Neurospora crassa OR74A: one gene and its partner. The protein of the gene in region 2 interacts with the protein of the main gene of each other region in a biochemical or structural test. Links are inferred from orthologs where the notes say so. Each region holds a gene or a part of one and is shown on either strand. Other genes may lie near its edges.

Region 1 (3,951 bases), on a different chromosome or scaffold from region 2:
CGCTTCGATGAATCTGCTAGTCAAAGACTGTCCGAGCCGTTGCTGGGAGCAGCAGTGCGCCGCCATCAAAACCCCTTTGGTGCCTGTCCTTCCCTTCACCATCGACGCACCACGGCTTGGGGGCCCAATGCTGGAGGCTTCGGGTGTAAGATGGACAGGATAACAAGGAATGTGGATCGTGGCTAGCGCCCTGAATATTCGTCTGGTTTCTATAACGGTACCTCATGACGGAAAGAAAGATGCCTGTCGAAGAATGTGATGATGATCAGGTCGAGGTATGGAGCCATAGCTTGAGCATATTGGCACCCCCACGGGTTCACCCCAAATGAGGGTTTTCACCTCTCCGCATGCTGCGTGGCCCGAACGTTGACAACCATGAATACTGAATAGCCGGTCTCATGGTATCTACCTGCCCACGAGGCCTGGGGCGTTAAGAGGTTTTTAGATGTAAGGTGACACTGCGGTGAAGTGTAAGGTTCGTGGGTTGTGGACCTTAAGCTCAGTCATGAGTTGAGATGTTGGCAGACACATATGTTATAGAGTCAAAGAAGACTTGCTTGAGGACGTTTCGGAGGCATGGACTGTTGATGTATTAGGACAACGGAATCAACTCGACCACTTGTCTGCCGGCCAAACTGGCCTAGTTCGTTGAATACATGATATTGAAGTGGTTAAAGCTTCAGTCGTGAACACTGCCGGCGTGGTGTACCAAGTTTAGATGGTAGAAGTATGGAATGATGGCCTACAGAAAGGCCCCACTTGCTCTTTTTGCAGGTTGGGGTCTAGGTATGTTACCAACCTACTTAGGCTCTGCTGCCGCCTGGGATTGCAATATACATACATGTGCCGTACGGTAGAGGTACATCGCTGCATTGCCTGCCGTACACCGTTTTGAGTGGCAGTCTTGCATCACAAGTACTTGGAGGGACGGTCTACCCACCTTCAGACGTGCGCAGGACCTGTGTAGGTACATATGTACTTGGCGATGGAAGGTGAGTGGCGTAGAGACCTCTCCACGTGTGCAGGTGGTATGTACTATCTAAGGTAGGTAAGGCAGCCCCCACAACCCCGATGTCACTACTGGGGGGACACTACAGCTTTAAGTACGGAACTCCCCACAGCCTTGCATGGACTGCACCCTAGAACTATACCGAGCAGGCCTCTCCCTAAATCCGCCGCATTTAACTGCCCGTTTTCTTCCCAAGTAACGACATCCTCCCGCGCAGCCTCGATAACCCAGTAGATCCAACGCGGCGGATCAGGTCGACAAAGGTACACATTGCCTATGCGAGCGATACCAGCACGCCGCCTTTCGTGATGCCCAGTTCATTGGTTGCGACGACAACATTGGTGCTGCTCGCTTGAGAACATGGCGGACCTCGAGGTCACTGAGCCTGTTGAGAACGAGCAGCAGTTTTGGCACGGTGAGCAAGCTTGCTAAATGGCCCTCCCCTTTTGTGGTGCGCTTGTTTCAATTGCTGAACAAAGACCTTTCGCAGCCCTGAACAGCATCCTTTCCGCCCCCTGCCCTACCCCCGAGTCCCTCGACGACGTTCTGCGATCATGGCTTGAACTGGTCGCGACCGGCCGGGACCGCTATCTCGACGATGAAGACGACATCGCGACATGTTCCCAACAGCTCCGACTTAGCAGCATCTTCAGACAGAACGCCGACTATGTCCGTACCCAGATCATATACAGCCTATTGCAGGAGGACGAGTACGGGCCGTTGCATGTCATTTCCAACTTCCTCCTGCTAGATGGCCGTGCCGAGGAAGAGACATTTCGGCGCATGGTCAACGAAGGATGTTTTTTGCGACTGCTCGAGCTCATCAAGAGTTGCGGCGCGCACGATGGCCGTCTTCACCGGCTACTTCTCGAGTTGATGTATGAGATGTCTCGCATCGAAAAGTTGCCGCATCAAGACTTGGCTCAGGTAGAGGACGAATTCGTCATTTACCTCTTCCAACTTATCGAGGCCTTCTCTGACGACGTGGATGATCCGTACCATTACGCCGTTATTCGTGTCCTGGTATGTTGTTGTGCCCCAAATCCGCTTTATGAACCTAACCACTAACGTTGGCCATGGGTAAGCTGGTCATGAACGAGCAATACATGGTTGCGTCAGCGTCCGGAGCTGTTGACCCAACTGCGCCTGTTACTCATATCACAAACCGAGTCGTCAAAGTCCTCAGCCTCCATGGCCCGTCTTTCCGAACTTTTGGCGAGAACATCATCTTGCTTCTAAATCGAGCAACCGAAACATCACTCCAGCTGATAATATTGAAGCTGCTCTATCTGCTATTCACCACCAAGGCGACTTATGAATACTTTTACACCAACGACTTGCGCGTCCTTCTTGACGTCATCATTCGTAATCTGCTCGACTTGCCAGTGGAAATGAATACCTTGAGACACACATATCTGCGCGTTCTCGCTCCGTTATTATCGCACACCCAGCTCAGCCAGCCGCCACATTACAAGCGCGATCAAATTCTTAGCTTGCTTGAAATACTTCGTGGCTCAGGAAGTGCGCACTTCCTACCGCCCGAGCCAACTACCCTCCGCTTGGTTGAGCGTGTCGCAAATATTCCATGGCTAGTGGACGATGAGGGCGTCTTGAGTTCTGTTCCCATGAAGAGCCTCACGCAAGCGCAAAACGGTAGTACCGTTAGCGTCATTGCAAACGTCCACGAGAAGCCAGGTATAGAAACACCAAGCAGAAAATCAAATCTCGCTCGTGAGCTCAGGCATGAACAGGAGGATGCGGAAGACGCCGTGAGGTCAATAATTGCCGTCGGTCCCGCGAGTGATACGCCAGAAACTACAACCTCAAATCTCTCGGTATCGAGTACCACCGAAGGGCACAAAGCAGCAGGCCGTCGAAAGCCGTCACCACCGCCGGCAAGACGGCTGAGGGCCCAGAAATCGCTTCCCATTGTTCCAAAGCATCGCCACGGTGTGCCGGTCTCCCCGCAACCACCACATACGCCAACAAGGATGATCGAGAATTCCACATTTGCCCAAGGTGACAAGCACGGGGTTGCTGCTGCTAGCAGCTCATCACCGACAGCGGCTTCGGCTGCGGAAGCCGTATCTGGTGATGGCAAGGTGAGTGGACCAGTGGCCAAAAAGCAGCCCCCCAAGCTCCCCCCTCCACGGCGCGGCAAACTCAGGGCTGTCAACAGTTTGTCGACATTACATCCGGTGACGGAGTCGCTACCCCAAACTGGGTCGACACCGGTAGCTTAGTCAGCGCCTTGTACGGTAACTGACAAGGATCTTAATTTGCGGGCCGGATTTACTGTGATGTCGAGCATTCTATCAAACACCAAGGTGGCTCGCCCCAGCAATGCGATTATTGCGAACATGACATTCTGTAGATACAGTCACAGGAAACGTGATAGAGCCCTGAATTGCCCTGGCATGAGGCACAAAAAAAAAAAGGGGGGGGGGGGGGGCGGGGAGGGGAGAGGACAAAAGGTTGCCCAAGTCACAAGTTTGGATCGGCTTGCAAGCCTTCGAGGGTTATTTCGACGAACACTATATGGGGTATCTTGTCAAACTCACCTCGGGTTAGCCGGCGGATCACTATTCCAGTTGTCACTCTTACTGGACGGCAGAGGTTTCGCTGGTTCCTAAAATGGCCAAGTGATATTAGGTAAGGCGTTGTATCAGAGGAGGTTGAGAGGAGGTTATGTTAGAAGGTGTTGGATAAGGGAATCTGAATGTTGTGTGTCATTTTCATCAGAGAGAAGCAAAGCGGGCAGCCATAGGCTCCGTATATCCTTTGTAGGATGAAATGTAACGGCTGCCGTAGCATTCTTACCACAACCAAGCGCTGTCCCCAGTAAGGTTGAGATTATACAAGCAATGCCTATTCAGGAAGACAAGGGCAGGGCAGCTTGGACTGAGTAGTAAACGAAGACCAAAGAGGAGTTGCAAAAAGGC
Region 2 (3,858 bases):
TATGGTACCGACCTCTATGAAGGCATGCAGAAAGTTGCATAACCTTTTGCTCCTTGCCCGGCGCAAAGTAAGCAATCTGATCACTGAACCCTCCAAACTGTGAATGCTCTCTGGGAACACGGTCGGTTTACTGTGAGGTGACGTCCGAGCATGTCAGGCAACATCTTTCAACATGACAATCGAGCCCAGTCCTGATTAGAATCTAATCAATGGGCTGAGAATAGGAACAACATTGAAAAAATGAAGAGAAAAATCAGCAAGTTGTGAAACTGATGCGAAGCTATCGGTTAGCTTGCCCGATGGGAGTTCGGCCAGTTCCAGAACTGTCGGGCCATATCAGGCCACCCGGCGCGAACCGGTGGTCGTGGTGCTGACACATCCTTGCTTACCGAGAGTTACAGTGAATGCCGTCAATGGCTTGGCACGCCGCCTCCGGAACCAGCCGATCGGTACCATTAAGCCCCCCTTTTAAGGGGACCGTTGCTCTGCGCAACGGATTCCTAAACATCAACACAACAACAGACACATTGGCCGTCTACGCTGACCCAACTTCACTAGCATTAAGTAGTTCCTCTTTTCTATTCATCGCCATTATATAAGCATCGGCGCCCGCTGCCTGCCAAATAAGATGCGGACTCGCTCCTGTACACAAATAACTACGCTTAAGATCCACCAGGTCCTCCGAGCAGAGCGAACCTGCGCACGATGCTGGGTCCATATTCTTGGTACTGTAAAGATCCGTCAGCAACCAGACTGCCAATGGTAAAAGGGTAAAGAAACATACCTCTGCCTTGGTGTGGCAGTACGACCGGAACTCGGGCGTCTGACCGAGCAAGCTACCACCAAACCACGGGCCGTGCCGTTGCCTTTTGTGGGTGATAACCTGGACATCAAGACCACCGCTCTTTGCTCCACCGCTGCGCACCTCGCTGGCCTTGATTCGCGTATCGACAAGCTGCTTGATATCGCGCTGTAGCCTGCGACCAAAGTCCTTGTAGAGCGTGCTGCCACCCGAAAGAACAATGTTCTTGTAGAGACCACGACGGACATCGATGGGCGAAGACTGAATGACACCATCAACAACCACGGGCAGGGGCGTAAGGAAATCGGACGAGTAAATCTCGGGGTTGAAGAAGATTTCGGGCGCCATGAAACGCTCGTAGCCAACATCAACCGTAACTTGGCGGCCACCGGGCTGGGTAATGGTGTGCTTCAGGAATCGGCTGCGATCGCGGTCGTACTTGGCAAACTCCTTGACAATATCCGGACAGACGTAGCAGTACTCCTCCTTGATCTCCTGGGCCGTCTTGAGGGACGAATCGGGCTCGCCGCGGTCACGGAGAAGCGACTGGACAAAGTAGGTGATATCGCGACCGGCAATAGGGATCGACTTGATGGACGAGCCGATAACGTAACCTTCGGCGACCGGGATAACGTGTGTCACACCATCACCCGAATCAATGACAGTACCGGTCAAGGATCTGTCCTGGACCTTGGATGATGTCCAGGAAGCCGCAAGGGCCAGAACGGCCTGGACGGCAATGTAGAGACCGGCGCAGTTGAAGGATTCGAAGAAGATCTCGGCGGTGTTTTCGCGGTTCTCGGGAGGGTTGAGAGGCTGAATCGACGTGTCAGTGCTGCAGACGTAGTACTGATGTGGCTTGGAAAGTGTAGTCTTACGGGCTCAGTGAGGAGGAAGTGGTGGTCCTCAGGCTCTACTCTCAGATACTTGAAGATGGAGTTGGACCAGAACCTTTCCATGTGATCCTAAGCTCCAGTTAGCTCTAGGCATTTGTGACATGCCATCTAGCAGCCTGAACGCACCCAGTTCTCGATCTGTCCGTGTCTGATGGGATAGTGCAACCCGTAGCCTAACACCGTCAGCACCCATTTCCGTTGAGGCGGTGTAGACCAACGTACCAGGTCCATTGGCGGCCGCTACGGCCTCGTCGCCGATAAAGTAGTCGAGGTCTTCGGTTCCGCGCTTTGCTGAGAGATGGCCACCTGGACCCGCGCCGCCGGTGAGGAAGGATGGCTTGTTGGCTACGGCGGGGCGGCCAGAGCCCGAGCCGCCGGTGCCTGCCGAGGGGCTTTTGGTCGCGATGGCCGTCGGGAATACGAACGAGGGGGAATCATTGCCGGCGAAACCTGCAGACGACGAAGAGCTTGGTCAATCGGTGGTCATTGGATATCTTGGGGTGTCGGAGTCGCGAACCTAGCTTGGAGAACCCCGTGCCGCTGGTTAGGGGATGTTAGCGATGACGGCCCCGGAGCTGTTAAGGAGCGGGCGGGGTGGAGACGGGACACTTGGATGCACGTACTTGTCCATGACAACGGCGGGGGTTGTGTTGGCCATTGTTGCGGTGGTGTGCTGCTACGCGCAGCTCGTGATGATTGCGGTTTGGTAAAGCAACGGCTGTTGTTAGTTGGTGATGGATGAAGTGACGGGGCGGGAGCGTGGATGGGTAGTGGATAGGCCAGGCGGGAAATGGAGGTTGATGTCCAAGATTGTACGTGCCTGGCCGAGCTAGCTCTCCTTACTCGTCTGGCTGACAGCGCTGCGTGGTACTGTGGAGGTACCTGTGCGGCTGTGCGCCAAGACCGCGAGGTCCCCGTATGGTACGGCGGTCCATTTAGTCAGTTGTGCATTTCCAGCGACGGGACCTACGCCATAACTGGAGATGACGGAACCAAACACCTCGCTGCCACCTGCGCGCCATCCGAGCCCCCCGAAACCTAACCGATGCCCCGGTCCCAAGCATCGGAGTTTGAAGCACACGGCCCGGGCCCGGACGATGATGGCTAGGAAAAAGTGGGGCCGATCGGTATCAAAACTGTAGCGACAAGGCCAGCCAGACAGGATGTGTCCTTCTAAGAAGGAAGGAGATACTGAATGGAAAATCACCTCCAGCCAGATTCCCTCACACCTGCCATTTCTGTCGGATTCATTTCAGCTTCATCCTCTCGAAGCAAGTCCACTTTGCGGAGAAGCTACACACACTCACAGCTTCTCACTTATCACAACGAATCATCAACCTGTCCAGTGTCCACATTCCGTTTCGTCTCTCTCTCCGTCTCTCTCTCTCTGTCGTATTCTGTATTTTGCCACCTTTGCCTTCACACATCTTCATCCCGCCCACCTACTGTATCCAAAGGGACTCTTCACCCCTCGGGCCACCCTGAGTGCATCATCTAGCTCATTGGGCATCGCTCCAATCTCAAATACCCCTCAAGACATTATCACTACCGAGCATTATTCCCATTCATTGTTTTAGCAGGTTGCTTTTACGAGGGACACCAAGTCCGACCACCCTTTTCATCTCATCCACCCGTTCCGATCTTCTCCAACTCTTCGCCCTTGCCTCGATAAGTCTTTTCGCCCATCTTTGTCCCAAGGCACAAAAGTCACCCATGACACACCAAAACTAAGGACTCTATGTGCCCTCAGAATACAGACTCGCTTGAAAGACACATGCTCGATTACCAGACAACTCGACCTCGCCAGATCACACGCTGCTTCGACTATCTCCTCGAGTCGTTCTATCACAGCTGCGCCCACGATGAGCAGCAAAAATGCCGAGCCCGGCCATGGGTCACCTGAATCAGATATGGACATGTCGGACAGCTCCTCAGAGTCAAACTGGTCTGGTGATCATGAATACGGATTGGACGGTGGTGTCGAAAGGATATGGAAGCGTACGACGAAGCCAGTTGCGGCAATCTTTGTCCACGCAGGTGCAGGGTACCATAGCATTACGAATGAAAAGGTTCACTTGGAAGCATGCAGCGAGTAAGTTGAGTCAAGAGTCATCAGGTGATCCCTTGCTGATGCGGTTGTAACTAGAGCCTCCCGTGTCG

Evidence for each region.
Region 1: the proteins of arp-3 (region 2) and NCU02418 form a complex in vitro, tested with the Schizosaccharomyces pombe proteins (2 studies listed by BioGRID). The link is inferred for Neurospora crassa OR74A from reciprocal best matches to the Schizosaccharomyces pombe genes arp3 and dip1.

The regions. Positions count from the first base shown.
Region 1 is NC_026507.1:2,561,583-2,565,533, reverse strand, and holds the start of NCU02418 (hypothetical protein), read left to right. Parts: upstream 1-1,151; 5' UTR 1,152-1,369; coding exon 1,370-1,424; intron 1,425-1,499; coding exon 1,500-2,032; intron 2,033-2,094; coding exon 2,095-3,252; 3' UTR 3,253-3,951. Other genes in the region: NCU02417 (L-A virus GAG protein N-acetyltransferase), read left to right, coding at 1-11.
Region 2 is NC_026502.1:2,534,717-2,538,574, reverse strand, and holds arp-3 (actin), read right to left. Parts: upstream 2,549-3,858; 5' UTR 2,357-2,548; coding exon 2,322-2,356; intron 2,239-2,321; coding exon 2,216-2,238; intron 2,149-2,215; coding exon 1,921-2,148; intron 1,872-1,920; coding exon 1,825-1,871; intron 1,768-1,824; coding exon 1,681-1,767; intron 1,619-1,680; coding exon 785-1,618; intron 729-784; coding exon 663-728; 3' UTR 501-662; downstream 1-500. Other genes in the region: NCU01757 (asparaginase), read left to right, coding at 3,561-3,790, 3,845-3,858. UniProt on the Schizosaccharomyces pombe protein: Functions as ATP-binding component of the Arp2/3 complex which is involved in regulation of actin polymerization and together with an activating nucleation-promoting factor (NPF) mediates the formation of branched actin networks.